Linked DNA regions of Stegostoma tigrinum. The protein of the gene in region 3 interacts with the protein of the main gene of each other region in a pairwise test. Links are inferred from orthologs where the notes say so. Each region holds a gene or a part of one and is shown on either strand. Other genes may lie near its edges.

Evidence for each region.
Region 1: the proteins of cltcb (region 3) and c20h10orf88 interact in binary tests that used the Homo sapiens proteins (3 or more experiments, as listed by UniProt). The link is inferred for Stegostoma tigrinum from reciprocal best matches to the Homo sapiens genes CLTC and C10orf88.
Region 2: the proteins of cltcb (region 3) and ap2b1 interact in a two-hybrid assay, tested with the Homo sapiens proteins (2 studies listed by BioGRID, with this or other methods). The link is inferred for Stegostoma tigrinum from reciprocal best matches to the Homo sapiens genes CLTC and AP2B1.

Annotation. Positions count from the first base shown.
Region 1 is NC_081373.1:28,388,609-28,399,019, reverse strand, and holds the start of c20h10orf88 (ATPase PAAT), read left to right. Parts: upstream 1-5,605; 5' UTR 5,606-5,637; coding exon 5,638-5,738; intron 5,739-7,782; coding exon 7,783-7,983; intron 7,984-9,336; coding exon 9,337-9,409; intron 9,410-9,492; coding exon 9,493-9,699; intron 9,700-10,411. UniProt on the Homo sapiens protein: ATPase that regulates mitochondrial ABC transporters ABCB7, ABCB8/MITOSUR and ABCB10. Regulates mitochondrial ferric concentration and heme biosynthesis and plays a role in the maintenance of mitochondrial homeostasis and cell survival.
Region 2 is NC_081380.1:7,249,541-7,260,072, forward strand, and holds the start of ap2b1 (AP-2 complex subunit beta), read left to right. Parts: upstream 1-6,270; 5' UTR 6,271-6,376; intron 6,377-10,532. Other genes in the region: pex12 (peroxisome assembly protein 12), read right to left, coding at 1-492, 2,971-3,099. UniProt on the Homo sapiens protein: Component of the adaptor protein complex 2 (AP-2). Adaptor protein complexes function in protein transport via transport vesicles in different membrane traffic pathways.
Region 3 is NC_081380.1:42,414,060-42,424,768, reverse strand, and holds the start of cltcb (clathrin, heavy chain b (Hc)), read right to left. Parts: upstream 4,558-10,709; 5' UTR 4,421-4,557; intron 4,257-4,420; 5' UTR 4,133-4,256; coding exon 4,091-4,132; intron 1-4,090. UniProt on the Homo sapiens protein: Clathrin is the major protein of the polyhedral coat of coated pits and vesicles. Two different adapter protein complexes link the clathrin lattice either to the plasma membrane or to the trans-Golgi network.

The DNA.
Region 1 (10,411 bases), on a different chromosome or scaffold from region 3:
AATGGTTGGATAGAGTTTGAAGTGGGCAGCAGGTAATTGAGGCAGCTGGTCACGGAGGTACAAAAATCCTCAAAGTCCTCATCATTAATGTTGAAGATGAAGAGGGCAGAAACATAGAAATAGGACAATGCTATCCACCGCTCAAGCGTGTTCTACCAATCAACTAGATCATGATTCATCGGTAAGGTCAGTGTGTTTACCATCTGTTTTGTTCCTTACCACCGTTCCCTATCACTGTCATTTTGTCCAACTGTAAAATTTAAAGTACTCTGTATTCCTCTAATTTTATCCTCTAGTGCACTTCTGATTTCCTTTGCTTCACTATTGGTGTCTATGTCTTAAGTTGCTTGGGATCTAAGTCTGCAATTCCCTCTCTAAACCTCTCCATTCCTGCATCTTTCACTTCTTATTTCAGATGCTCATAAACCTATCTCTTTGGCTAACCTTTTTTTTAATCATCAGTCTTAATATCTTCCAAGGTGGCTCAGTATCAAAATTTGTTTGGTATATTGTTGTAAAGTGCCTTGGAACATTTTTCTAAGTTAAAAATGCTACATAGGAGCAAGTTGTTTTTATTATTGCAGATACCCTTACCTAATGACTCAATACCAGGCTTGTACTTTTAAACTGACCACAACTTTATGGGAAACATGATTCTGGAGATTTAATTCTCAAAATTGAACACAGATCACCAGATCAGATCTGTCTGTAGCTCTGTGCAACCGAAATATAGTTGCGTACTTTTGAATTCCTAAACCTCTTCAAATATAGGTTAACAGACCAATATCCTTGTTGGTTTCTTTTTGTATTTGTGCACATTTGTATTCGATATTTATGATGAGAATAGAAAATCCCATTGTTCCAATTCAGCTTTTAGTCTGTCAACATGAAAAAATATTCACATTCTTATTTCTTAGATTCAAAGCGGATGATCAAATATCTTTGCATCTACCGTAGTTTTGCCCAATTCATCTAGATGATCTCTATTCCTAACTTATCATCTACACAATTTACTGTGCCTTCAAACATCCTGGGTGGGGGGAATGGAGGCTGTATTAATATGAAGAGTTTGGGTTACAGCCCATGATAATCTTAGAGTAGTGAGAGTATTTCCTCAAGGAGAGAGTTGAACAGTGCTTTACATCAATGTCTATCAAACTGGGTTCCACAGACAACTGGGGTCTTATAGAGGTCTGCAAATTAACTGAACAGTAGACAAATGGTTGTCACATAGAAGCCTGGTGTAGCTAGGGAACAGGAGCACTGCCTGGTTGCCATGCACATGGCACAAACAGGGATGGCGGTGTGTCCTTGGAATGAAGCGCACTAAGAATTATTGAGAATGGCGGAAGAGCACCAGAAAACCTGCAGTCACCAAGGTTGGTAGTTGTTTAATGGCGAGATTAAAAGTCATTTATGTGGTTTATTTTAATGTCACATTTCTTTTTTTATGGAGTTTGCTCGTTTATCAAATTGTCATGTTTGTGGCTTCCTGTCAGAACTGAAAAGTTCGAGACGTAATGACATTATGCAAGCCCAAAACAAAAAAAATCTGATCCACTGGGTAGAAAGATGCCAGAATTCTTGGGTATTGATTTTACAACAGGTAATGACAGATTCTAAGATAGTAGAAACTGCAGATGCTGGAGAAGCATCCTTAGAAAAAGCTTCACAGTGGGGTTAAAATTGTTTTAGAGATAGTAGGAAATGCAGATGTTGGAGATGCTGCTTGGCCTGCTGTGTTCATCCACCTCTTCACCTTGTTATCAATGATAGTTTCCAAATTGGGTTTAAGCTGATCTGACATTGTTGTTGTTGGATCTGAAAAGGTTAAGACCTACTTGCACCACTCACTGTGATGTTGTTGTGGGGATTTGGTTGGAAGTAAAGTAGGATTTTGTGCAAAACAGATGTTTAACTGATCATCCTAAAAGTTAGTGTAATAATGTAGTGTTTATTATTACGTGTAGATAGTTGCAGAGATGTAATGAACTATGTATTGTTTAATGTACACAATGCTTCTTATAAGACTGGAAGTGTCTATTGTCACATTCACTAAATGGTGTCACCCCAAAGAACCCACACACATAGAAAATATGAATGTCGGAGTATATATCATACAACAGCAAGGCGAGACCTGGTTACAGAGTGGTGTTAATGCTGGTATTACACCAGGCAATGACAAGTTTCTGAGCTTTGGAATTGCTGATATTACACCAAGAAATGATTGGTTTTCAAGTTTTTTTTAATATGGATATTACATCAGGTAATAACTGGTCATTGAGTTATTTAAATACGAATATCATACGAGACAGTGACTGCTCACTGTGTTGAGCTAATGCTAATATTACCCCAGCAGTGACTGGACATGAAGATGCATTAGTGCTGTTATTACACCAGGCAGAGATTGGTCACTGTGTTGAATTAATTATGTTAATACACCAGGTGGTGACTGGTAACTGAGTTGAGTTAATGTTGATATTGTACCAGGCAAAGCTGCTCACTGAGTTGTGTTGGTGTTGGTATTACAGCAGGTAATGCTGGTTAATGCAATTCACTGAGCTGTTACGATCAGAATGCCTCTGACAAAGGAGCTGCATAGGAGGCTGCTGAATATGATAACACCCCATAGTGTTGGGGTAAAGTGCTGGCATGGACAGAGGATTGGCTAAATGGCAAAAAACAGAGAGTGGGGATAAAGGAGTATTTTTCAGTATGGCAGCCAGTGACTATTGGAGTTCCACAGGGGTCAGTGTTGGGACTACAGATATTCACGTTACACATTAACCATCGAGTCAAAGGAACTGAAGATTTTGTTGCTAAGCTTGCAGATGACACAAAAGTAGGTGGAGGGACAGGTAGTGTTAAGGAGGTGGGGAGACTGAAGAATGAGTCAGACATGTAGGCAAGACAGCAAAGACATGGCAGATAGAACACAACGTGGCAAAGTGTGAGGTTATTTATTTTGGTAGGAATAAAAGAGCCATAGACTATTTTCTATTTGGGAGAAGTTTTGGAAATCGGGAGTGCAAAGATACTTTGGAGTCTTAGTTCAGGATTCTCTTAAAGTTAACATGTAGGTTCGGATGACGATTAGGAAGGCAAACACAATGTTGGCATTGATTACAAGAGGGCAAAAATATAAGAGCAGAGATGTCCTGCTGAGGCTGCATAAGGCTGTGGTCAGGCCACATATGGAATTTTATGAGTGGTTTTGGACCTAAATCTAAAGAAGGATGTGCTGGTTTTGAAGTTGGTCGAGAGGAGGTTGACAAGAATGATCCCAGGGATGAAGGGCTTGTCATATGAGGACTGGTTGAGGACTCTGGGTCTGTACTCAATGAAATTTAGAAGGATGGGAGGGATCTGATTGAAACTTAAAGGGTACTGAGAGGCCTGAATAGAATGGCCATGGAGAAGATATTTCCATTGATCGGACAGACTAAAACCTGAAGGCACAGCCTCTGGATGAAGGGAAGACCCCTTAGAACTAAGATGAGGAAGAATTTCTTCAACCAAAGGGTGGTGACTCTGTGGAACTCATTACTCCAGAGGGCTGTGGAGGCCAAATTATTGAGTGCATTTAAGACAGAAATAAGTAGGCCCTTGCTTAGCAAAGAGATCAAGGGTTATGGGGAGAAGGCAGGAAAAATGTATCAGCCGTGATCAAATTGAGGAACTGATTTGATGGGCTGAATGGCCTCATTCTGCTCCTATATCTTATGTCTTATTATGTCAGATAATGCTGCTCACTGAGCCTTGATGGTGCTGGTATTACACCAGGGAAAGCTGCCCACTGAATTATGTTATTACTGGTATTTCATCATGTAATCCTGGTTAACACTGCTCCCTGAGATGTGTTGGTGCTGGTATTACAGTAGGTAATCCTGGTTAACATTGCTCACTGAGCTGTGTTGGAGCTGGTTTACGCTGCTCACTGAGCTATGTTGGTGCTGGTTAATGCTAATTATTACTGGTCACTGAGAGGTGTTGGTGCTGGTTCACGCTAGTTAACCCTGCTCCCTGAGCTGTGTCCGTGCAGGTTAGTACTGCTTAACCGTGCTCCCTGAGCTGTGTCGCTGCTAGTTAACCCTGCTCTTTCAGCTGTGTCGGAGTTGGTTAACCCTGTTCCCTGAGCTGTGTTGGTGCTGGTTAATGCCTGTTAATCCTGCTCCCCACACAGTGTTAATGCTAGTTAGTGCTGGTTAACTGTGCTCCCTGAGCTGTGCTGGTACTGGTTAATGCTTGTTAATGCTGGTTAACTGTGCTCCCTGAAGTGTGCCAGTGCTGGTTAACTGTGCTCTCCACACTGTACCATTGCTAGTTAGTGTTGGTTAACCATACTGCCTGAGCTGTGCCAGTGTTAGTTAGTGCTGGTTAACTGTGCTCGTTAACCATGCTCCCTGAACTGTGCTGGCACTAGTTAGTGCTGTTTAACCGTGCTCCCTGAGCTGTGTTGATGCTTGTTAACCATGCTCCCTGAGCTGTGCCGGCGCTAGTTAGCGCTGTTTAACCGTGCTCCCTGAGCTGTGCCAGCTCTAGTTAGTGCTTGTTAACCATGTTCCCTGAGCTGTGCCGGCACTAGTTAGTGCTGTTTAACCGTGCTCCCTGAGCTGTGTTGATGCTTGTTAACCGTGCTCCCTGAGCTGTGCCAGCGCTAGTTAGTGCTGTTTAACCATGCTCCCTGATCTGTGCCGGCGCTAGTTAGTGCTTGTTAACCATGCTCCCTGAGCTGTGCCGGCACTAGTTAGTGCTGTTTAACCGTGCTCCCTGAGCTGTGTTGATGCTTGTTAACCGTGCTCCCTGAGCTGTGCCGGCACTAGTTAGTGCTGTTTAACCGTGCTCCCTGAACTGTGCCGGCGCGAGTTAGTGCTGTTTAACCGTGCTCCCTGAGCTGTGCCGGCGCTAGTTAGTGCTTGTTAACCGTGCTCCCTGAGCTGTGCCGGCGCTAGTTAGTGCTGTTTAACCGTGCTCCCTGAGCTGTGCCAGCGCTAGTTAGTGCTTGTGAACCGTGCTCCCTGAGCTGTGCCAGCGCTAGTTAGTGCTTGTTAACCATGCTCCCTGAGCTGTGCCGGCGCTAGTTAGTGCTGTTTAACCGTGCTCCCTGAGCTGTGCCAGCGCTAGTTAGTGCTTGTTAACCGTGCTCCCTGAGCTGTGCCGGCGCTAGTTAGCGCTGTTTAACCGTGCTCCCTGAGCTGTGCCGGCGCTAGTTAGTGCTTGTGAACCATGCTCCCTGAGCTGTGCCGGCGCTAGTTAGCGCTGTTTAACCATGCTCCCTGAGCTGTGCCGGCGCTAGTTAGTGCTTGTTAACCATGCTCCCTGAGCTGTGTGCCGGCGCTAGTTAGTGCTGTTTAACCGTGCTCCCTGAGCTGTGCCGGCGCTAGTTAGTGCTTGTTAACCATGCTCCCTGAGCTGTGCCGGCGCTAGTTAGTGCTTGTTAACCATGCTCCCTGAGCTGTGCCGGCGCTAGTTAGTGCTGTTTAACCGTGCTCCCTGAGCTGTGCCGACGCTAGTTAGTGCTGTTTAACCGTGCTCCCTGAGCTGTGCCGGCGCTAGTTAGTGCTTGTTAACCGTGCTCCCTGAGCTGAGCTCGCTGGCCAGGGAGTGCGGCTGCGCGCTGTCAGTTTCCGGCCGGGGATGGAGCGGGTCTCGGTCCGAGCCGCTTGGCCGTGCGGCCTGGGCCGGTTGCGGGTCTCGGTCACTGAGTGCGATTCGGATGATGGAGAGGTCGCTGCCTGGTAAGGGGGAGATCAGGGATCGGTTCGTGGTCTCTGCGGGGACCCGCCGGATCAGGGCCCCGCTCGGTGGGGAGACTGGGCCGGAGCCCTACTCCCACTCCGGGGAAGAGGGGTGTGTGCAGGCCCGGCGTTAGTGTAGTGCATCCAGCCCCTCACTGCCTCCTTCTATCGCGAGCCACTGGACTATAGACAAAACGTAGACACTAATACAAATCTTTTTAAAAAGACTGATCCGCTGTTTCTTCTCATTGTGGATTTGATTTTTTTAAACAGAGTCTTGCTATTGTGAGTTTATTTCGCCGCCGCTGATGCCACAAATACCGTCAAAATGCCTATGGTATCCCTTAGAACCATTGGCTATTTAATCGTTAATCTGAATGTAGGTGGGACTTACCCATGGAATACCCACCACAGCAGATTCTGTAGGCATTGCCTGGGGAAGCTGAATTTTCCACTCGCCCTGCTTAAGTGGCAGACCGCAGACGGTTCTGGTGAAATTAAGTAAAACTTACTTGGGCAACGTTGTGACGATTAAATTCATAGCCTAACTCCCAGCTCCTGATGGCTGACCCATCTTACTGCCTGTGGTGGTGCTGCTGAGTACTTTGGCTGCTTGTCACACATGACTGATTGAAAATCCAGATGTTGTTAAACAACTTTCCAGATTACTAGCACACAATAAAATTGGATAATAGACATAAATCCTGGGGTTTATTATCTTTATCTCCATTCATTGGTGGTAACAAATACACTTTAATGTTTTGTCTTTTTGGTAACATAATAAGCAATGTGATTTTGATGATTGGTCAGTTCTTTGTGATATAAAGTGATGTTAAATGTAGTCTACTTTTGCTACTCTCAAGCCTTGTCTGCCATTCAGTTAAATTATTGCTGATCTGCTGCCTCAATGCCACTTTGCTAAGCTATTCCCATATTACATTATGTTTTAAATATCAAAACAGCCATTACTTTCTGTGTTGAATGTATTCAATAATTGACCTTCCACAGCCCTCTGGAATACAGAATTCTGAAGATTCATCACCCTCTGAGTGCAGATATTCTCTCTCATCCCTATCATAAATGGTCCACCCCTTATAATGAAACTGTCTCTGGGTTCTAGATTCACTGGCCAAGGGAGGCTTCCCACTGACAATTACCCTTGCTCGTTTCAGATAAATCCCTGGGGCAGGCTGGATAAGAGTAACTTTAATGCTTTCTCTAGCAATCTTTTAAATCGCCTCCATTGACCTAATGCAGACTTTAACTTTTGTTAGCCATGTTTGACTCACCCTTTTTGTTGGTTTTGATGTCTTAGGGGAAGGTATATTTATGGTAAACATGTAATATTTATTTAAATATTAGCTATTACTTGCTTACCTTAAATATTTTCATATATTTTCCCATTCCACCATAGTAACTTATTCTCAAAAGAACTAGGAGGAGGAATAGGAAATTCAACTCCTTGAGCCTGTTCCACCATTTAACACAACCATGGTTGATCTCATCTCAGCTTCAACTGTCCTTTCCTGACTGTTCTCTAAAACTCTTCAACCCTATGCTAACTAAAAATCCATCTATCTCCTTAAATTTGCTTGACGTCCCAGCATTCCCTCTTGTCTAGGGTTGTGAGTTCCACAGATTCATGACCCTTTGAGAGAAGTAATTTCTCCCATCTCAGTTTTAAATCTTCTACCCCTTAGCCTAAAACTATGACCTCATGTTCTAGATTGCCCCATTTAAGGAAACATCCTGTTTATGTCCACTTTGTCAGTCCACTTCAATATATACCTCAATTTAGGTTTCCTCTGAGTCTCTAAACTCCGGGAGTACAATTTTATTGAATTGCAAACGGCATGTCGTAATTGTGAAGTATTTGATTTAATCAGTATTCAATTTTCACTTCATTGAAAATGTTGTGGTATACCAGAAATATAACACTATTTGAGATGGAAAGACGAAAAGAAAATTACAATAGGCTATAACTTTGAAATAAAATGTTTTACTTTAAGTTAAAGGTGACATTGTTCCCTTTGTTATGATTCAGTGCAGAACTTGTTACTTTGGAACGGCCTCAAACCAATACTGTGGAAACTCCATGTATACTCTATCTACGGTTCTCTCCTCAACAACCTGCTGACATAGTCTTTGTAGAGGTATGGAGCGAAGCAAGAATGATGGAGGTTTACACAGGAGAGTACTGCGGAACAAGCCGTGGCCTAAGACTAGACAACCTACATTTAAATGGGTAACGTTGTTTTAGCTCGCAGTATTAACCTCGAATCGGCAGTCAGCAGACTAATAGAGTTTGTAAAATATCAGCTGAGCACTCTAAATGATTATTATAAATTTTGCCATTAGTTAGATTCTTCTGATATTTCTCAAAGGTCCAATTCACTGCCTTTTAAATTCTCTAGTACACTGCCTATGAAACAACCAGAATGTCATTTAAAAAAAGACCATCTGACCTACTAGTGCTGCTTTTGGGGGAAAAAAATCTGTCATCTTTAACAGTCTGGCTTGTGTGATTCCAAATCCATTGCAATATACTTGATTTTTTTATGCTGTCTGAAATGGCTAGCAGACCACTCAGTTCCAGACAAATTCTCACAACCTTCTTGAGGACAATTAGGGCTGAGCAAGAAATGCTGACCTTATCAGTGTTGCCAAAAACACACACAGTAAAATAGGTCCACTTGCAGCTATGTGTAGGAGGATACAGTGGTTTATAGGAAGCTGTTTTTCAGTGTACAGTTCCATTAACAGATTGTTTACATTTAATGACATATTTGTTACTGTTAGACAATGGTTTGGTTTAAGGGGTGATGCTATGTGATTGTGTTTAAAGATCGAGACTAATGCTGGATAGTTTTGCTGTGCCTCCAAAAAGGTGATCACAACACTTCCAAATTTAGGCCTATTTAATAATACTAGTGCCCTATATACACAGTCCAAATTCCTTTGCTGGCTTTAACAACCAATTTTGCATCTATGTCAGTACAGGTTTAAAAAAATAGTCAAGGGAGAGACATTTCAAAACTTAGTCAAAGAACCATGACTCTTCGTTTCCAATATTGACAGATCTTGCATAGAGTTCTTTTCCTGCAATTACTGATTTAGATTCCAACAGCAGCTACTGTGATAGAATTCTGTCTCCAGGTAGGAGAACCAACACTAACTTATGGGAACATTATCACATGTTAGGCAAAAGACTAACAGTTTGGTATAATGCTTGGATTTGAAGGGATGTCTTAAAGGAGTAAAGAGAGGATTAAGGAGGAAATTCCAGAATTTAGGTCTGGAGTGGCTGAAGGTACAGCCACCATTGTGACACAATTAAGCTTAAGGCTCTCAAGAGGCCAAAATTATAGAAATGGAAGTATTCAAAGCATTTTGGTACTGTTCTGAGAATATGGAGCTAGCGAGGGGTAAGACCTCAGCAGGATTTGCAAAGAAGGATGACAGTTCACTTCAGAGAAACAGGGATCACTATGGTTGCAATTGCTGTCCTGGAACTATTGACATTTTGAATATATTTATTTTATATTTTGTATATATCTTTTGTCACTAAGAATGCATCTGTGTTTAAATTGCCTTTCAGTGACCATGAACAAATCTGCTTATTTAAGAAGTATTTTAAGTTGGATATTCCTAGTTCATCCTGTGAACTAAAGGTAATTTGTTGAGTTATTTTTGTTTTCTTTGCACTCATTGTGTTTTACTCTTGTGAATCTTCTGACTAATATCCTATTTTTAGCTGCTGTCTTTAGGTGGAAAGGAGAAAGTACGAATTGGTAAAATATTGCTGGGAATAAAAAATGCTTCAGTTGGGATCTCGAGAGGCTTTTCTCCATTAGGAAAAAGCATCGACATGGAACGAGTACAAACGATGATGGATTCAATGGGAGCAAAGCTGTCACCTGGAGCTCAGCAACTCTTTAGCATGGTCCAATTTCAACAGAAGGTGAGTAATGCATTGGTCAGCATAAAGACTTGAAAAAGACATGCTGACTGCAGTAAAATAGAGTTCAAGTTTTTATAACATGCAGAAGAGGCCTTCTGACTCATTATGTCCATGTCAGTCGGTGAACATCCATCTATTCTAATTCCATTTTCAGCACTTGGCCCATAGCCTTACTTACAGCAGTTTCCTGTTTCAGAATTATAAATACCGGCTCTGGACTTTCATCACTGGACATTTTTGACTCCATGTCCTTTGAGATATTCTATAAATCTTTAGGCCATTTGCACTAATATTGCTTTATTTGGTTCAAGATTTACTTTTGTTTTATAAACCTACTGTGAAACACTTCAAAACATTTTATTATTTTACAGACACTGTGATTTTGTAAACATCCAATAAAGACTACGACATGCCTGAACACACAATAATTAAATACCAAGATACGATTAAGAAATATAATGAGTCTGTTGAATTTTAGCTTGGTGAATGATTCCCCATGAGATTTGCATTCTATTCTTCACGACATAAACTGTCTGTCAAACAGCTGCGTTGCAAGCTTGGTAGTTTGTATTTTTATATAAGACTAATTCAGTGTTTACAGATCAATAATATGAATGGTACTGTGTGTTACCTATGGCTGTATGCTAATAAAGACAGTATCTTGAATATGATGGATTATGTTAGAGGGATGTGAGAGTCCTTGACCTTTGAT
Region 2 (10,532 bases), about 35 Mb from region 3:
TGCAGGGGTGAGGCTCCCCAAACGGACCCCTGCCACTCGCAACAGCGGTGAGTGAAACTGTGTTTTCTCGAAGACGTACAAGAGCCGGTAGATAAGGAACCATGCCTCCCAACTCATATTCACAAAAGGATAGGCTGCAAGGAAGGCCTTATAAAGACGCTTCCAAGAGGACTCTGGGAGATGTATTGCATAGTCATCCTCCTCTTGCAGTCGAGCAAACAGTTTGTCCAATTTGACTTTTATGTACGGAACAGCTATTACCACCAGCAGGGATCTCCAGTGCTGGGTTCTTGGGAGCCCAAGACTGGCTAATCTCCATAGTCCGTGACCACTACCCAATGGAATTCTTTTCAGACCGTAAAAGTTCTCAGAGAAGGAAGCACTGGTCCTGGACAGATAGTGATGCTCAAGCAGGAGGTCTAGCAGCACGTAGATTTCATCGAACCATCGCCATAGAAACCCATAGCGACTGGGGTTGGATTCCGCAAGCACCTAGAACAGAAACATATGCTCTGTCAAAACATTGTGCCTTGTGCCAGGATGTCAGTCAGTAGACTGACTGTCAGAAGTTAGTATTGCTCATTTCCACATAGGTATCTTAGCATCCTTAAAAAGTAATATGAAAGATCACGGAAATGAGATTGGAGGAAAGCCAATATAGACCAGTTAACCTGGATTTTTGTGCATTTTTAAATTCTATTAACATTAAGCACCCCTTTATTATTTGCCGTCACACTATGGCTTTTAATCCCCTCCTCTTCAGGAACACCCAGTTATCTATGGAACACATTGACTTCAATTTTATTCCCTGATATCTTACTCTACAGTTATATTTACGTCTTTTAGAAATATGTTCTTCCCTATTCCACTTCTCAGTGCTGACTTGCAAACGTACTAACTTATGTTCCCTTTCCCCAGTGGACAATTTGTTTGTCTCTGTATATATATATATTTTACAAAAAATATAATGGTGCACATTGTTAGAATTCAGTAACATTCAGGGTCTTAAAAAACACCACACACCTTGCATAATTTCAAATGAAATATCACTAAATGCTTTTCACAAAGAGCTCACTGGTTTGCATTTTGCTAATCCTGTCTAGATTACAGTACAAATTTAACCCTGTGTGAAAACGCGACTGTGCATACAGTGAATGGGGTATCCTGGCTTCTAGCATCAACTGTCGCATTCTTAGAGACATACAGCATGGAAACACGACCCTTCCATCCAACCAGTCCACGCCGAACATAATCCCAAACTAACCTAGTTCCATCTGCCTGCTCCTGGCCTATATTCCTCCAAATCTTTCCTGTTCAGGTATTTATCTGAGTGTCTTTTAAATGGTGTGACTGTGTTCACATCCAACACTTCCTCAGGAAGTTCCTTCCACATGCAAGCCATCTTCTGAAGTAAAAAAAATGTCACCCCGTGTATTTATTAAAATCTCTCTCCTCTCACCTTAAGATATGCCCCATTATCTTGACAACGCCCATCCTAGGGAAAAGACACCTACCATTCATAATCAAAACCTAACACTGTCCCTTACCTCAGCACTGAACACGTACAAGAATCAGGTGAAAACAGAACCAATTGGTGTGTAATACTCCCTAATGAAATGAAAAGTCCTCAAATGTTCAGATATGTTAAGGGCAGCTAAAGAAAGTGTTTGAATCCATGATTTCCAAAGCAGGATACCACTGGAGTTTTACTTCAACCATTTCTGGGCATGTTGCAGATTTGTTCATCGGGATTCGTTGCTAAGATCAGTCAACTTCATTATTGCGACAATAGTGTTAAATGGGCCATATTTCTATTTTGACTCCTGAATGGTGTGTTCGTCTAATGATTATGTGCACAACTGGAACCTATGGGATTATATTGAAGAGTAATCTCTTTTTTTTATTTCCATGACTCAATATAGACTCGCATTGCTGAGATCACAACCATGCAAAAACTATCAACTGAAGTTCAGGTTAAGCTCGAGTACAGCATCTTCATTTCAATTCCATTAAAACATACTTGGTCCCTGTGGGATTAATTTAAAAAGAATCCAGAGAATAAACATACATGGTTCACTCAATTCTGATTCGACAAGTGGCTTGATGTTCAATTTACACTTCCTTCATTTCCCTCTATCAGAGATAGTAGGAACTGCCGATGCTGGAGAATCTGAGATAACAAGGTGTGGAGCTGGATGAACACAGCAGGTCAAGCAGCAGCAGCAGGAAGGCTGACGTTTCAGGTCCGGATCCTTCTTCAGAAATGATCCAGAAAGGGTCTAAACTGGAAACATCAGCCTTCCAGCTCCTCTGACGCTGCTTGATCTGCTGTGTTCATCCAGCTCTACAGCTTACTGCCTCCCTCTGTACCACATTGGTCAACACAGCTGGAGAATCCAGTAGCTTAAAAGTACTGTCAGAATCAGAGAACATGTGAGAGATAATGGGAACTGCAGATGCTGGAGAATTCCAAGATAATAAAATGTGAGGCTAGATGAACTCTGAGGCTCTGATGAAGGGTCTAGGCCCGAAACGTCAGCTTTTGTGCTCCTGAGATGCTGCTTGGCCTGCTGTGTTCATCCAGCCTCACATTTTATCATCAGAGAACATGTGAAGCAGGTTTACACCATAATTCCTAACTGTGAATCAAGGGTGAATTTGCACTTGCAACAACATGTGGAAGACTGACAAATAATGCTTTTGTCTTTAACATTGTGGTTCTAGTCAAGAAAGAAAAGGTCGTTATTTTTCGGAAATGAGTTGAAGAGTGAGTCACCTCTGGGTCATCTTCGACCGAAGTACCTGACTCTGGGCCTCCATCCGGAGGCGCTTTCGGCCTTAGGCCAGCCTGCAGCCCTTGCTCCTAACCCCCTGGGACAGCGGCAGCTGCGCCTCCGATTCCAATCCGCGGAGGCGGCAAGGACCCTCTGCCTACCCTTCCTCCTGGGGAGGGCACGGTACGAGCCTCACCTTGCAAGCATGTTGCGCGGCGGGTCTGACCGCCGACATCAACGTGTCCTGAGCAACCACCTCAAAGATGGACGGCCGGCCCGGGCTGACAGCCAGGCCGCCCGTTAAGTGAGCACCGCGCTCCGCCATGGCCGCACCGTCTCCTGGGGCAACCGGCGGATGACCCCACCCACCGCGTGATCCGAGACGGAATAGGGCCTGCCCACCACGGCGCCCCGCCTATCCGCTCGCCGCGCCCTCGGAGGCAACCCCGCCCACTGAGAGGACACCGCCACGGCGATGCTCCGCCCACTGGGTCGCCGCGCAACCCCAATGCACGCGCCCGACAGTGCTGCCGCGCCCACTCAAAGGCACGGAGCTGCTCTACTCCGCCCATTGACGTTCCGCGCCCGTAGTGAAGCCCCGCCCACCTAGTCGTCCCACGATAGCACGTGGTCACTGCAGTTTAAGGAAGTGCAGAGACAGTGGGACTCGGTGAACTTCAGGTAGTGCAAAGGTGGGAGGTCGAGAGTGTACCTGACTCCCTACGGCTTGCTGTTCTACACTACCTAAGTCCCTACTTGTAATTGTGTAAGATCTGCCCTTGTTTGTTTTACCAAAATGCAATACCTCACATTTATCCACATTAAACTTCATCCGCCACTCCTCAGCCTGCTGACCCAAAAGATAATTTGTAATCTTAGATAACCTTCTTCACTGTCTACAGTACCATCAATTTTAGTGTCATCTGTGAACTTAATTACCATTTAATCATTTAAATAAATGACAAACGAAAGTGGACCGAGCACCGATTCCTGTGGAACACCACAGGTAATGGACACGAAAACAAAGTTGCTGGAAAAGCTCAGCAGCTCTGGCAGCATTTGTGAAGAAAAAGAACAGAGTTAATGTTTCGGGTCTGGTAACCCTTCTTCAGAACTGGTAAAGTGCAAAGAGTCTGATAAATAACTCTCCGCCACCACTCTGTGCCTCCTGCCAGTTTTACATCTAATTGGCAAGCTTTCTCTGAATCCCATGTGATCTCACTTTACTAATTAGCCGATGATGCAGAAACTTGTCAAAGGCTTTTCTAATGTCCGAGTAAACAACATCTACTGCTCTGCCCTCATCAACCTTCTTGGTTACTTCCTCAAAAAAACTCAATCAAGTTTGTGAGACGTGATTTCCCTCGCACAAAACCCATGCTGACTATCCCTAATCATTCCTTGCCTCTCTGCATGCACGTAAATTTTCTTTCAGAATCACCTCCAACAACTTACCCACCACTGAAGTCAAAATCAAAGGTCAATAGTTCCCGAGCTTCTTCATACATTCCCTTTTAAACAAAGGCACATTAGCCACTCTCCAATCATCCAGCACTTCACCCCATAGTTATAGATGACACAAATATTTCCGCAAGGGGCTCCTCAATTTCCTCCCTAACTTTTTACAACATCATGGGATACATTGGAACAGATCTTGAAAATTTATCCACCCTTTATATTTTCTGAGGCCTCCAGCACTTCGTTTTTGTAATGTGAACTGTTTTCAAAACATCAATATTCATTTCCTTTCTTTCATTTCTTTCTCCACTGACACAAAACATTCATTTAATATCTCTCCTATCTCCTGAGATTTAACACAAAAATGACCTCTGATCTTTAAGTGTCCCTACTGTCTCTCTATAGCTCAGGTAAATACAATTCAGAACCAGACAGAATACAGAATGTTCAGAACTGACAATGCAAAACCAAACATGAGGAGCAACAAAGGATTATGAGAAAATATTTGCAGGTAATATAAAAATAATTATTAAAATCTTCTACAAATACATCAATAGTAAAAGGGTTGTAAAAAGGGGAGTAGGACCAACTAAGGATAAAAAAAGAGTTGACACTTAAGAGACATTAGGCATGGCTGGAGCGAATAATGAATGAATACTTTGCATCTGTATTTACCAGGGAGGCAGATACTGCCCAGGCCACGGTGACAGAAGAGGGAACTCAGTCACTCAAAGGGTTTGAAATTAGTGAGGTGGTATTGGATAAGCTATTACTACTTAGACGTGATTAGGCCTTGGGATATTGAGGGAATGGAGAGTGGAGATTGCAGAGGCGCTTTCAATGATCTTTCAGTCTTTCCTACATTCAGTGACGGTGTATGGTTGGAGAGTTGAAAACTTCATGCCTTTGTTGAACATTGTTGTTTAAGTCAGTCCACTGATTACAGAACACTCCATTTAACTCTAGTGATGAAGAAACATGTAGAAGCAATTATTTGGCATAGAACGACTCACCACAATGAAAATGTGCATTGGTTTGGAGGACTCAATATGGATTTATTAAAGGACAATCTTGCCAAAGTTACTTGCTGGAGTTATTTGAAGAGGTATCAGAGAGGATTGATGATGGGAAAATTGTTGTGGTATGCACAGACTTCCAAAAGGCATTTGATACAACACCAAGCAACAGTTCTGTGAGGAAAGATACAGAACAAGGGAAAAAAAAGTCAGTAGCAACATGAATACAAAATTGTCTGTAGAATAGGAAACAAAGAATTTTGGTTAATCGGTATTTTTCAGGCTGGAAGGTGGTTTGTAGTGGACTTCTTCGTGGATTGTTATTAGAACCCTTGCTTTTCCTGATCCATATCAACGATCCAGATCTTGATGTGCAGGGGACAATTTGAAAGTGTCGTGGATGACTGAAAATTTGGAAGAATTGTAAACCACAAGGAGGTCAGTGTAGAACTTCAAAAGAACATAGATAAACCAATGGATTGCGTGGATAGGTAGCAGAAAGTTCAATGCAGAGAAGTGAGAAGTAATGCGCCTTGGTACAAAGAACACTGTTCTAAAGGGAGCACAGGAACAGAGAAACCTGGACGTTATGTATGTAAGCCGTATCTGGTAGGACAGGTGTAGAGAGCTTTTAATAAAACTTACATTACTTTCGGCTGAATTAATAGGGGTATAGAGTACAGGAACAAGACGATAATGAAGAACTTGTGTGAGACATTGGTTATAGCTTAGTCGGAGTGTCTTTGATTAAAACGAATGAAGAATGTCAATCCTTTAGTGGAGAAAAGGTTTACGAGAACATTTCAATTGATGGGATACTTCCGTTATGAGGAAGGGGGGGAGTGAAGGGTCACCCGGGGGAGGGGGAAGCGGTGATGGTTCACCCCGGGGGGGAGAGGAGGGACCACCCCCGGGGAGAGGGCGGAGGAACTGAGGGGTCGAGACACAATCTCTGTCTGTCTTCAGGCTCCTTCCTCCTGCTCTGTCCGTTCCTCCCCCTGTTCCCCCGCCCACATCCGGCCCGGCCTCCCCGGGACGGTTTTTCCGGGTACACAGTGCCTCTCCCACTCTGGGTGGTTCCATCTCTGCTCTCTCCATTTCCCCGGCTTCATCTCGGGAATCTCACAGGTCGGTCTTTTCACCCGTAAACCTCTCTCTCTGTGTCTGCAGCTCCCGTCTTCAGGCCTCGCTCTTCACAGACTGTGCCCACTGCCTTCACCCTCATCCCGCCTCCTGACCATCCCCGGTCCCGGCCATCGCCCAATCGCTTCAGACCCGCTCTCTTCCCCCACCCCCCGACTCCGCACCCCAACTCCCCTCCCACTCCAAGCCCCCGACTATCTCCACCCCCCCCCACCCCCCCCCCCACCTCCCCCCCACTCCCCCCCCCACCCCCCCACCCCCCCCCCACCCCACCCCCCCCCACCCCCCCCACCCCCCCCCCACCCCCCACTCCCCCCCCCACCACTCCCCCCGCCACTCCCCCCCCCACACCCCCTGCCACTCCCCCCCCACACCCCCTGCCACTCCCCCCCCACACCCCCCTGCCACTCCCCCCCACACCCCCCCCCACACCCCCGCCACTCCCCCCCCACACCCCCCCCCACACCCCCCCCCACACCCCCCCCACACCCCCCGCCACTCCCCCCCGCCACACCCCCCCACACCCCCCGCCACTCCCCCCCCACACCCCCCGCCACTCCCCCCCCACACCCCCGCCACTCCCCCCCCACACCCCCCCCACACCCCCGCCACTCCCCCCCCACACCCCCGCCACTCCCCCCCCCCACACCCCTGCCACTCCCCCCCCCACACCCCCCGCCACTCCCCCCCCGCCACACCCCCCGCCACTCCCCCCCCACACCCCCCGCCACTCCCCCCCCACACCCCCGCCACCCCCACACTACCACCCCACTCCCCCACACTACCCCCCCACTCCCCCACACTACCCCCCCACCCACCCGCCACTCCCCACAACCCCACCCACCCCCCCCACTCCCCCCACCCCCCACTCCCCCCACCCCCACCCACCCCCCACTCCCCACACCCACACCCACCCCCCACTCCCCACACCCACACCCCCCCCCCCACTCCCCACACCCACACCCCCACCCACACCCCCACTCCCCACACCCCCACCCACCCCCCACACCCCCACCCACACCCCAGCCATTCCCTGCCACTCCCCACCCACCTCCCACCACTCCACCCCCCACTGCCCCGCCATGCCACTCCCCAACAACCCCCCTGCCCCGCTATGCCACTCCCCAACAACACCCCCACCCCCCCGCCACGCCACTCCCCCACCCACCCGCCACGCCACTCCCCACCCACCCGCCACGCCACTCCCCACCCACCCCCCGCCACGCCACTCCCCACCCACCCCCCCGCCACTCCCCACCCACCCCCCCGCCACGCCGCTCCCCCCGCCACTCCCCACCCGCTCCCCCCGCCCCCCCCCACCCGCCCCCCCCCGCCACGCCACTCCCCACCCGCCCACCCCGCCACGCCACTCCCCACCCGCCCACCCCGCCACGCCACTCCCCACCCGCCCACCCCGCCACGCCACTCCCCACCCGCCCACCCCGCCACGCCACTCCCCACCCACCCCCCCGCCACGCCACTCCCCACCCACGACCCCTGCCCCCCCACTCCCCCGTCGCGCCCCCCCCCCACTCCCCCGTCGCGCCCCCCCCCACTCCCCCGTCGCGCGCGCCCCCCACTCCCCCGTCGCGCCGCCCCCCACTCCCCCGTCGCGCCGCCCCCCACTCCCCCGTCGCGCCGCCCCCCACTCCCCCGTCGCGCCGCCCCCCACTCCCCCGTCGCGCCGCCCCCCACTCCCCCGTCGCGCCGCCCCCCACTCCCCCGTCGCCCCCCCCACTCCCCCGTCGCCCCGCCACGCCACTCCCCACCCCCCCACCCCCCCCCACTCCCCCCCCACTCCCCCCCCTCCCCCCCCACTCCCCCGCCACCCCCCCCCACTCCCCCGCCACGCCACTCCCCACCCACCCACCACCACGCCCCCGCCACCCACCCCCACTCCCCCCCCCCACCCACCCCCACTCCCCCCCCACCCCCACCCACCCACCCCCACTCCCCCCCCCACCCACCCACCCCCACTCCCCCCCCCACCCACCCACCCCCACTCCCCCCGCCACTCCCCACCCCCACTCCCCCCGCCACTCCCCACCCCCACTCCCCCCCGCCACTCCCCACCCACCCACCCCCACTCCCCACCCACCCACCCCCACTCCCCACCCACCCACCCCCACTCCCCCGCCACCCACCCCCACTCCCCCGCCACCCACCCCCACTCCCCCGCCACCCACCCCCACTCCCCCGCCACTCCCCACCCACCCAGCCACCCCCCACTCCCCACCCCACCCACCCCCCACTCCCCCGCCACTCCCCACCCACCCACCCACCCCCCACTCCCCACCCACCCACCCCCCCACTCCCCACTCCCCCCCCACTCCCCACCCACCCACCCACCCACCCACCCCCCCACCCCCCCACCCACCCCCCCACCCCCCCACTCCCCACTCCCCCCGCCACTCCCCACCCACCCACCCCCACTCCCCCGCCACGCCACTCCCCACCCACCCCCACTCCCCCGCCACGCCACTCCCCCACCCACCCACCCCCACTCCCCCGCCACACCACTCCCACTCCCCCGCCACTCCCCACCCACCCACCGCCACTCCCCCCCCACTCCCCCCCCCACCCACCCCCACTCCCCCCCCACCCACCCCCACTCCCCCGCCACGCCCCCCCCCACCCACCCCCCACTCCCCCGCCACGCCACTCCCCACCCACCCACCCCAACTCCCCCCGCCACGCCACTCCCCACCCACCCCCACCCACCTGCCACCCACCCCCACTCCCCCGCCACGCCACTCCCCACCCACCCACCCCCGCTCCCCCGCCATGCCACTCCCCACCCAAGCCCCCACTCCCCCGCCACACCACTCCCCACCCACCCCCCCCACTCCCCTGCCACGCCACTCCCCACCCACCCCCCCCACTCCCCTGCCACGCCACTCACCGCCCACCCTCCCCCACTCCCCACCCACCCTCCCACACTCCCCACCCACCCTCCCCCACTCCCCACCCACCCTCCCCCACTCCCCACACTCCCCACCCACCCTCCCCCACTCCCCACCCACCCTCCCCCACTCCCCACACTCCCCACCCACCCTCCCCCACTCCCCACACTCCCCACCCACCCTCCCCACCCTCCCCACACTCCCCACCCAACCCCCCCAACACTCCCCACCCACCCCCCCCACCCCCCCCACTCCCCTGCCAAGCCATACCCCACCCACCCCCCCACTCCCCTGCCACGCCACTCCCCACCCCCCTGCCACGCCACTCCCCACCCCCCCACTCCCCCGCCACGCCACTCCCCACCCACCCCCCCACTCCCCCGCCACGCCACTCCCCACCCACCCCCCCACTCCCCCGCCACGCCACTCCCCACCCACCCCCCCACTCCCCCACTCACCCCCCCACTCACTCCCCCACTCACCCCCCCACTCACCCCCCCACTCACCCCCCCACTCACCCCCCCACTCACCCCCCCACTCACCCCCCCACTCACCCCCCCACTCACCCCCCCACTCACCCCCCCACTCCCCCACTCACCCCCCCACTCACCCCCCCACTCCCCCACTCCCCTGCCACGCTACTCCCCACCCACCCCCCCCACTCCCCTGCCACGCCACTCCCCACCCCCCCCCCACTCCCCTGCCACGCCACTCCCCACCCACCCCCCCCACTCCCCTGCCACGCCACTCCCCACCCACCCCCCCCACTCCCCTGCCACGCCACTCCCCACCCACCCCCCCCACTCCCCTGCCACGCCACTCCCCTGCCACGCCACTCCCCACCCACGCCACTCCCCACCCACCCCCCACTCCCCCGCCACGCCACTCCCCACCCACCCCCCCCCACTCCCCCGCCACGCCACTCCCCACCCACTCCCCCCACTGCCCACCCCACTCCCCCCCACCCCACTCCCCCCACCCCACTCCCCCCCCACCCCACTCCCCCCCCACCCCACTCCCCCCCCACCCCACTCCCCCCCCACCCCACTCCCCCCCCACCCCACTCCCCCCCCACCCCACTCCCCCCCCTCCCCACTCCCCCCCCTCCCCACTCCCCCCCCCACACCACTCCCCACCTACTCCCCTGCCACGCCACTCCCCACCCACTCCCCCCACTGCCCACCCACTCCCCCACCACCCCCCAACTCCCCGGCCACGCCACTCCCCACCCACCCCCC
Region 3 (10,709 bases):
GCCTTCCTGCTTGGACTGCTGTGTTCATCCAGCTCGACACCACCTCTATTAAGGAGGATTGTCACAAGCCTGACTCTGGCCCAGGCTCGAAATAAAGGTGTAACAGGCAGAATCATACAGGTTGAAAACATGCTGACCAAGTTTCCCCAAACTAGCCCTACTTGTTTGGTTCATCCAAGCCTAACTCATGCAATTCACTGGATGGGCACATACACAGTTTGAACATCTACCACTTCATTCATGTACCAATCACCTTCTGGTATCACCCCCAGGTTCTTTTAAAGCAAGAAGACTTCCCTAGTCTCCAATATGCCTCAAGTTGCAAACTTTCCTACCCTAGACAAAGGAACTTTGTTGTTATTCACCTTTTCTAGGCCCCTCATGGTTGACAGACCTCTACAAGGTCACACCACCTGTTTCCCCTCCCCAACACATCCATTTCTCCACGGAGCAAAGTTCCAGCCTATCCAAGCTCAGAACTCAAATATTCCATACCAAGTAAAGTCCTTGTTAATCTTTTTCTACATGTTCTCCAATTTAATGCCCTTCCTACAAGGCATGTGACCAGAACTGTACACCACACTCCAGGAGTGACCTCACCTACATCTTGTGCAACCTCAAGGCATCCCAACTGCTATTTTGGAGTGATCAAAACAATGAGGAGAGACATGAAGGCTGTTGAAAGAGGGACGACAAGTAGACAAAGCTCTTGGCTAAAATAAGCCTTAAAAAGGTGAGGGTGGGGCAGAGAAGGTTCAGAGGACAGTTATTTGGAAAGGTGACACTGGTACAGATTAAATAAATAGAGCCAACAAACTATAGCTATGTACCTTGGAAAAGCTGTTTAAACTGAGCAGTTTACAGTAGCATGATGGACTGGTGATACAAAGCAAGGCAAAGTTGAACACAATACAGGAAAAGGTGGCAAAGTTTTTGGTCAAATCATACAGCTTTGTTTAGCTACAAAACATTGTAGCTTGATGCAAGCCAGTTACAACTGAAGTCTGTTACTTGATGCAACCATTCCTACTGCTACCCACACCAGGTACTTAATACAAGTGGTTACAATTCAGCAAGGCTCACTTAATAGGACAACTGTCAACAATTCCAGTAACTACAGCAAAGGTAAAGAGTCGCTTGCTTAGAAGCAATTTGCCTCCTTTTGGCAAGTGTAGGAGTTAGATCAGAATACTCCTTTCAAGTGGTAGCTCTAGCGAGAAAAGCACTGTTGGCAAAGGCCAGCATTCATTTTGCTGGGCCTGGCTTGTGAACTGCCTCAAGCTAAGGAGGCTGCAAAACCAAAGGGCACTCCAAGTACAGGATGAAAATTTGCATAAGTGTTCAATTCCAATCACGAGCTACACAAGACTGAGTGCTACACAATTTTACACTCTTCCCACAGATGCTGTCAGACCTGCAGGCTTTCTCCAGCCATTTCTACTCTTGTTTCTGGTTATACAGAGCACTGCTAAAGATCTTCAAAAAAGGTGATTCTAGCCTGAGATTAGATTAGCACATTGCAATCCACAACTTGATCAGTTGAAAAAGTGATCACTACCTGTTGCAGTATTCTTTGAACATTGGAAACAGTTTAAGACTGAATATCATACAAGGGCATTCGATACCCTTGCAAGCCCTCTCCTGCTAAGGAGTCAGTCTCAAACAGTAATTTGCTGTCTGCTGTTAAAAAGGCTAGAGTCTCCATGTTGGAAATATTCTAATTTAAATTAGAAAGGAGGGAGGTCAAAAGTAACTTAATTTAAGATTTTCATTGACTGCAGTTAGAATGCAAGGGATCAGGGTCAGAAGGGACATTATACAGTATCAAACAGTATGCAAATATAAGTGCTATCACTCACTGAATGCAGTATTGGTTGATCAATACTGCATCAACCAACTTACAGGAGGTTTAGGCTATTACATGATGGCTAAAACCTATTTGTTAAATAACTGCATGGATTTTGCATCTAGATCAAATTCTCTAATCACTTCCTAGCAGCAGCCCTTTGGACCTCATTGTGCAAGTCTGAATTGAGTAAGCTTGTGTATTTTTGAAATTTAGTTATCAGTACTTAGTAAACTAAAGTTAAAGTATCATGGGATGCATGCGTAGACACTCCAGGGTAGAAGTCTGATCCTCCGAAGTGATGTTCTTAGCAAAGAACTTCATAGTTGACTTGATAGTAGGAACTGCCAATACTGGAGAATCTGAGATAACAAGGTTTAGAGCTGGATGAACAGAGCAGGCCAAGCATCAGGAGAGCTGATGTTTCGGGCCTAGACCCTTGATCAGAAATCCCCCCTGAAGACTTGAGCTGAAACGTCAGCTTTCCTGCTCGGTTTGGTGTGTTCATCCAGCTGTACTGTACACCTTCATAGTTACCTATTTCTTGCTCCATGTTTCAACATGGAGCAATGGTATGAAGCATCACTACAAATTTAGTTTAACCAAATTAAACTAGTTTCCCATAGAAACAACACCCCATAGCTTAGAATGGCAAGTTCTAAACACGTGACTAGTTACAAATCAGACCCATGTTTTAGCGGTATGGGCAGCTGGTTATTTAGCACCTCCAAGGAGAAAGCAGATTGACACATCTACACAAAAGTGCTTTATTACAGATTTACACAGTCTCCTGCTTGCCCACTCACCTGTTTATAAACTGTAAGAGGCAAGTGACAGTTTAAACACTGTCAGTCAACTTTCAGATCAAACTGAATATGATGTCAATTTTAAGGGAGAGCAAGATAAACTCAATTTTCCCTGGCAGGGCATTGATAGTTATTGAAAGCCTTGCTTTTTCACATTCCATGCTCCTATGTCACCAGCTCAAGTAACACCCAGTTAAATTTGTTAAAAATGCCACTAGTAAGTCAGTTGGAATGTAACTTTAAACAGGCTAATTTATAAAGAGTGATACTTAGGGTAAGTTAGCAACTGAAGAACCCACTGTTTAGTTGCCCAATTTAATACCTGTTAAGTTACTGGAAAACCAATGCATTCTAACATCTTCAACTGTATTTAGATACCAAGTGTGAAAAATACACAAACTATGAAACAAAGTTGAGAAACACTACATAGGAATTAAAGATAAATACAAACAATTCTATTCAAGAATCCAACATATCTACAGCTAAAGACACCACTAAGTACAAACAAACCAAACGTTTAAAATGATCATATCTTAATTGATGAGTTGAGCCACTATCAAGCCCATTTTGGAAGCATAACTCAACATTAAAAATTACAAGCAAAGTTACAACTGGTTGAAAAAAGTTCAACTGTCTCACTGCTAGCTGAGAACATGGTCATGGGTTGCACATATAAAACAAGTTATTTACAGTACAAGAACTCAAATTTCAGTTTAAAACACTGAAGGGTCATTAAGCAATTGTCCCACTTCCACCTCAGATTAAAAGACAGGCAAACATTGGTGGGGTGGAAGCCTGGTACTGTTACCATTAGAAACATCTGCACTAGGCTCCATTTGGCAAAAAAAATCATTCATAGCCTGAACTCACTCCAATTTATTAAAAAACTAAATGAGATGGGCACCATCAGCATTCGAGGCCTGCAGTAAGGTAGAGCTTTAAACTAGGGGTGGGGTTAAAGAAGACAAGATTTTTTTATAAACCGTGCAAGCATTCACACATTTCCTCATACGGGCGACATTGTGAAACGGTGCCACGGTGTAATCCAAGGTTGAACCTCCACCCCCACCGATAATATTTCAAAGTGAAAAATTACGGCGAAATTGGGGGGGGGGGTAGGTTTGCAAAACGAGAGATATATAGAGAGAAGCAAATCCGGGGGGGGGATTAGGAATAATCTACAGGCGGGAGGGAGGTGGGGTCGAAGATTAGAGACGGGAGCGCTGTATGCGGGTGGGGATGACATTTACCCAGGGCTCGGTCTGAAGCGAAGGCCCATGTTACGGGGGGGGGGGGGGGGGGGAAGAAGAGAGAAGGTGTAGAGGTCAGGAGATGCAGGGGCGGGGGGGGGGGGGGGTGTTAAAATTTTTTGTTTAAAGTTAAGTTAAAAAAGAGAAAAAAAGTCATCGTTTACTGACGGACTGATTGAGCGAGTTACCTGCAGGTGCTCCTGGAAGCGGATGGGCAGGATCTGAGCCATGTCGACAGACGACGCTGGCGCTCAGCGGGTCCAAAAGGAAAGAAAAAACACACCGAGATCCTCCGGCGAGAGAATAAAAAACCAGCCAGGGAAGAGAGAGAGAGAGAGGCGAGTAAGTGCGGATCTGTGTGGGGGGAGAAATAATAAATACAAAAAAATATTATTTCTACATCGAATGACATCAGCCAAGAGGGAAATGTTCCAAAAACCCCTCCCTCAGACGGAAGGGGGTCAGGGGGAAAGCCCGTTATCACCGTGAAGGGAGGAGACGCCCTCTCAGAGACTCACCTGAAGCTGCTGCCCTTCCTGCCGCCCGCCTCCCCTTTTATAAACCGTCAACGGGGCCCCCACGGAGCCGCAGCGGGAGCCGCAATGGCGGAAAACCGGAAACGGCGGAGCGCTACCCCTGCACCCGGTGACACGCCCCTCCACCCAGACCGTCAGATCAAAGCGAGGTGAGGGGGGGTGGGGTCACTTCGGCAAGCCCACCCGCTGTGTAACTAAAAAAAACAACAGACAACCCCCACACGCCCGTCCACCCCTTCGCTCATTGCAACCATATACGAGTAAAACTTGGTCTTTCGGGTACCGCCCCCCTTCAGATTTGACGGCGAAAACTGGGAAGCGGGGGTGGGCGGAAATGGGACTTTTTTCGGTCGGCGGAGAGTTTTCCTTCGGGCGGCCACATCATTGGCACATGATTAAGCATCACTTCCGCCTGGGCTTCCGGGTTTCTCCACCTTCCGCCTTCAGCTCCTCATTCATTGCAAAGGCTGGCCCTGCTGTATCTGCAATGATGGAGGGAAGGTTGTTGTGTCCTCTCTCTCGGCCTTTTGGAGATTTTTAAAATATATTCCAGCAATAAAATTAGTGCATTCCCCAAAAAAAAGTGTATGTGTGAGTTCATACAAATAAATGAAGTAGATTTTATCTTTCATGTCCCAGTCTTTAATTTTTGGAACAGAGGACATTCCATGGAATGATGAAGTCACTTAAGGTACGGGGAGGCCATTCGCTCCATGATGACTGTCTCAGAGCACTTCAGTCTCATTCCTCTACCGTAGCCTCATAACCGGGCAAGTTTATTTCCCTCGAGTCCCCATCTAATTTCCCAGAAGGAACAAATCAGCTTAGCAATGAAAAGTAACACTTGGAAATTAACAGAGATAATGGGAACTGCAGATGCCGGAGAATTCCAAGATAATAAAATGTGAGGCTGGATGAACACAGCAGGCCAAGCAGCATCTCAGGAGCACAAAAGCATCTTCGGTCCGCCTCCCCCTCTCTCCCTATTTATTCCAGTTCCCTCTCCCCATCCCCCTCTCTGATGAAGGGTCCAGGCCCGAAACGTCAGCTTTTGTGCTCCTGAGATGCTGCTTGGCCTGCTGTGTTCATCCAGCCTCACATTTTATTAACTTGGAAATTAACACACTGATTATCTGTTTTGAAGAGTACAAGTTGAACAAGTGTATCATATCCAGTTTTGCTTTCTGGGAAGTCATCAATCATTACTTAATGATTTTCGGGATGGTTGAGGATGTTGGGTTGACACCACAGTCACATCAGCTATGATCTTACTTATTGGCAGAGCTGGCTTGAGATCTGAATGACCTACTCCTGCTTCTCATTTATATGATGATATGCAGTGTGCTATATGTAGCTATGCTGAAATGGTTTCTTGCTCTAGAGAAAGAAAAATTGGGTTGATATTAAATTACATGATCACCTCTCAATGACTCAAGCTGTGACTCAACAGTTCTTAACTCTGGATGACCTATTCTGGGAGATTTCACTTCATGACCTCCAACTTTCCACTACTGCTTGACCACACTCCTTCTGTTGGTCATTCAGTGTGTCAATCATTACACACAACCCTTTCCCAAAGTAACAACGTGTGGAGCTGGATGAACACAGCAGGCCAAGCAGCATCTTAGGAGCAGGAAAGCTGACATTTCAGGCCTAGACCCATCATCAGAAATGGGGGAGGAAAGAGGGTTCTGAAATAAATAGAGAGAAAGGGGAGGCCGATTGAAGATGGATACAGGAGACAGACAAGTTAAAGGAGCAGGGATGGAGCCTGTAGAGGTGAGTGTCGGTGGGGAGGTAGGGAGGAGATAGGTCAGTCTGGGGAGGACAGACAGGTCAAGGGGGCGGGTTGAGGTTAGTAGGTAAGGAATGGGGGTGCAGCTTGAGGTGGGAGGAGGGGACAGGAGAGAGGAAGAACACGTTAGGGAGGCGGGGACAAGCTGGGCTGGTTTTGGGATGCGGTGGGGGGCCGGGGAGATTTTGAAGCTTGTGAAATCCACGCTGATACCATTGGGTTGCAGGGTTCCCAAGCGGAATATGAGTTGCTGTTCCTGCAACATTCGGGTGGTATCGTTGTGGCACTGCAGGAGGCCCAGGATGGATATGTCTTCTGAAGAGGAGTTGAAATGGTTCGTGTCTGCGAGGTGCAGCTGTTTATTGTGAACCGAGCGTAGGCGTTCTGCAAAGCAGTCCCCAAGCCTCCGCTTGGTTTCGCCAATGTAGAGGAAGCCACAATGGGTACAGCGGATTCAGTATATCACATTAGCAGATGTGCAAGTGGACTTCTGCTTGATGTGGAAAGTCTTCTTGTGGCCTGGGATGGGGATGAGGGAGGAGGTGTGGGGGCAGGTGTAGCACTCCCTGCGGTTGCAGGGGAAAGTGCCGGGTGTGGTGGGGTTGGAGGGGAGTGTGGAGGAGACAAAGGAGTCATGGAGAGAGTGGTCTCTCCAGAAGGCAGACAAGGGTGGGGAGGGAAAAATGTCTTTGGTGGTGGGATCAGATTTCAGATGGTGGCAGTGTCGGAGGATGATGCATTGGATCTGGAGGTTGGTGGGGTGGTATGTGAGGACGAGGGGGATTCTCTTTTGGTTGTTATTATGGGGACGGGGTGTGAGGGATAAGTTGCAGGAAATGCGGGAGACGCGGTCGAGGGCATCCTTGACCACTGCGGGGGGACGTTGTGGTCCTTGAAAAATTAGAACACCTATGGGAGTGGAATGCCTTATCCTGGGAACAGATGTGGCAGAGGCGAAGGAATTGGGAATAGGGGATGGCATTTTTGAGGGAAGGTGGATGGGAGGAGGTGTATTCTAGGTAGCTGCGGGAGTTGGTGGGCTTGAAGTGGATATCGGTTTCTAGGTGGTTGCCCGAGATGGAGACAGAGAGGTCCAGGAAGGTGAGGGATGTGTTTGAGATAGTCCAGGTGAACTTGGGGTGGAAGGTGTTGGCGAAGTGGATGAACTGTTTGAGCTCCTCATGGGAGCACGAGGCGGCGCCGATACAGTCATCAATGTAATGGAGGAAGAGGTGGAGTTTAGGGCCATACAATTTTAACCTTTCCCAAAGTTTTCATTGTGTCCTGATTTTGACTTTTGTGAGTTTGGTCATGATTACACTGAGGCAAGTGATTAAGGCTTGCACCAGAAAGATAGCATCTTAGAGGGTCAAGGTTTTGGCACAGAGTGTTAAAGTTTATGCCCTGTACAAAAGTAATGCAGTTTCAATCAACGGATGGGAATCAGAAAACAATCCTAACAGGTTTGGAGTCATGCAGAGCTGTGCTCTTTCCTGTGATCTATGTGTTGGATAGAACCCTTTTGCCAAGTCAATCAAAAAGAATGTGAAAATAAGAAGGGTGACCATCCAGGTAGTGGAGGCACTGAGGTCAGAGCTTTTCTGTAGGTGGGCAATGTCATCATCTTCTGCTCAGTTCCACTGACGATGAATAGACCGATTTGAACTTGAATCAGGAGGCAAGATAAATTGAGCAAAGAGCAAGGCCACGCTTTTTGGGAACTGAGCCAACTAAACCTTTGTTCTTCATTGTCGGGTCAGATTACCTGAAGATGCTCGGATATGGTTTGGAGGGGCCAGGGTACGTGAACAAGTAACTGTTATAAAACAAAGCATGGGTACAGAGGAATGATGCTCCCTCTCCGTTGCAGGTAAGAACCTAGTCATCAGTTGCTGTGCTCTCAATGTTGCAGGCCTGGCCCATTCTTCACTCCTGCACCACAGTGGTCACCTGAGATATTTTCCACTTTATCTGGAGGTTGAAGAAGGACTATGCTCACAGAGACACACCCTTCATATGCAAATACAAATGTTTACAGGTTCTACCTGCCCCTGGGTGTTACAAAGAATGGGTCCATCCACATTGTTGTAGAACACTGAAACTAGATGGACTTTGCTGTATCACCTATCCCTCGTGGAGTAGTTTCTACCAAAAAAATTCAGGAAGTGGTCTTCACCTGACAGCCTCTCGACCTTGTGGCAAAGGGAGATGGCAGATCCTGTCAGATGGTTTCCATGTGTAAGCTGTCAAAGTCATTTGGTAGAATACTTCGCCGCCAGAACTAACAAAAACAAGCACCAAGGCATGGCTGGGTATGATGTGAGAAAGGCCCTCCCTGCCAAATCCTTCCTACAAACTCAGAATCTCGTCCTCCCACTGTATGTTGCAGTTGAGGTGTCTGTGGTGGAACAGAAATGGTTGTTCACCCCCTTACGGAATGTGTCTTGGTAAATATGGTCTGGAGAGAGTTTTTATCCCGAGCAGCTCCATCGCTCAGAACTCGACTGCCTGGATTGTTCCCAGTGATCCTCACTGAGACAAACCAATTGGGCTAGAAGATGATCAACTCAGTGAAAGATGAAGAGTCATCTTGACTCAACACATTAGCTTGCTGTCTTGCTATGAATGCTGTTTGACCCACTGTGATCATCAGCATTTGTTGCTTTCAGTACATATTCCAGTATCTGAATAATTTGCTCCTAATCAGGAAAAGATGCTCCTTTGGTCGGCCTGAAACTTGCTAGTCTTCCAGCTCAAGGACTTGATTTCAGCAGAGTGATGTAAACTGGCACATTCCAAGGTCTATGAATATGTGCGGAGTGATGCACTAAAGCTTGGGGCAGCCACTGCAGAGGCACAAGAGAATGTTCAAATCCACGTGGATCCACAAAGCATCCCACCCAGGCCCATTTGCTTATCACCCACCTCATCTGGGCAATTTAGCATGGCCAATCCACCTAAGGTGCACATCTTTGGACTATGGGAGGAAAACAGAACACCCAGAGGAAGCCCACACTGACACAGAGAGAACGTGCAAACTCCACACAGTCACCTGAGGGTGGAATTGAACCCAGGTCCCTGGTGCAGTGAGGCAACAGTGCGAGCCACTGTGCTGCCCAGAATGGTTGCTGTTCAAAGCATTTTCAGCCATTATACAATGAGGGCTGCGATCTGTCGAGATCCTCAGGTTCAATACCTGACAAGGCATGCACACTGTGAATATCGAGGGTATTGAAATTGTTGTGAGGCACCTCGGCATGGAGCATAGTGTTTGGAGAAAAGTTTGTTTTCATTGCACTTTCAGTAATTTCCAATTTGAAATGTTTTGATCTTGTGCTGTATACTTTACATGGAATATATTTGTAAATGTTAAGACTGTTTCAATTATATCAAGTGGAACACTCCATTTGGAGACGTTGAATTTTGTTGCAAGTTCTGTAATAGCCGAGTTGAGAAGTTTTGCCATGTAATTTGACAAATTTTATGAACAAAGTACATTTTTGAAAAAAAAATTACAGCTCATTGCGTAGCCATTTAATGGGCAGCACGGTGACACAGTGGTTAGTAGTGACAGGAACCCAGATTCGATTCAAGCCTTGGGGTGTCTGTGTGGAGTTTGCACATTTTTCCAACTCTGAATGAGTCTACATTTCCTTCCACTCTAAATTTTCTCCAGTTAAAAAGTCAGCAGGCTGCAGGCATTGGCTTTGACAGCAGCCACAAATTGTTTACTAGCCACCCCTTGCTAGTCACAGTCTCAGGTTGAACCGCACCACTCACAATTGGTGTCCTATTCGACCCTTAGGGCAGGGCGATTAGAGGTAAGCAATAAATGCTGATCTCGGCAGTGAAACCCACAACTCACATCCCAGGAACAAATTGGTTAAAAAATTGACCCCATATCGTCTCTGTTATAAAGACTGTCTGCTCCCATCATCTGTCTTCTCTCCTGCTTTAGTCCTATCTGTTGCAGCTCTCATTTTTATCTGTATTTTTAGTATCATCTAGGCAGCCTCCCATTATACTCCAAGAGAACTTGGCAGGGTACAGCTGCTATAAAGTAAAGGAAATTGTACCTTTACTCTGGTATAGCGACTGTTACTCTACATTTCAGAAGATCCCCCTACATTGGGGAGACGACATGCAGGCTGGGTGACTGCTTTGCAGAACACATGGGTCCTGTCTGCAAAAGCTGTATTAGAGTCTAAGATTTGCATCTTATGGATGTCCTTTACAAATGTTCATTATCAACAGCAGGGGAGGTGATGGCCTAGTGGTATTATTGCTGGACTGTTGCTATAGAAAGCCAGATAATGTTATGGGGACCTGGGTTCAAATTCTAGCACAGCAGATAGTGGAATTTGAACTGAATAAATATCTGGAATGAAGAGTCTAATGATGACCATGAACCCGTTACCAGTTGTTGGGAGAACGCATCTGGTTCACTAATGTCCTTTAGGGAAGGAAACTGCCATC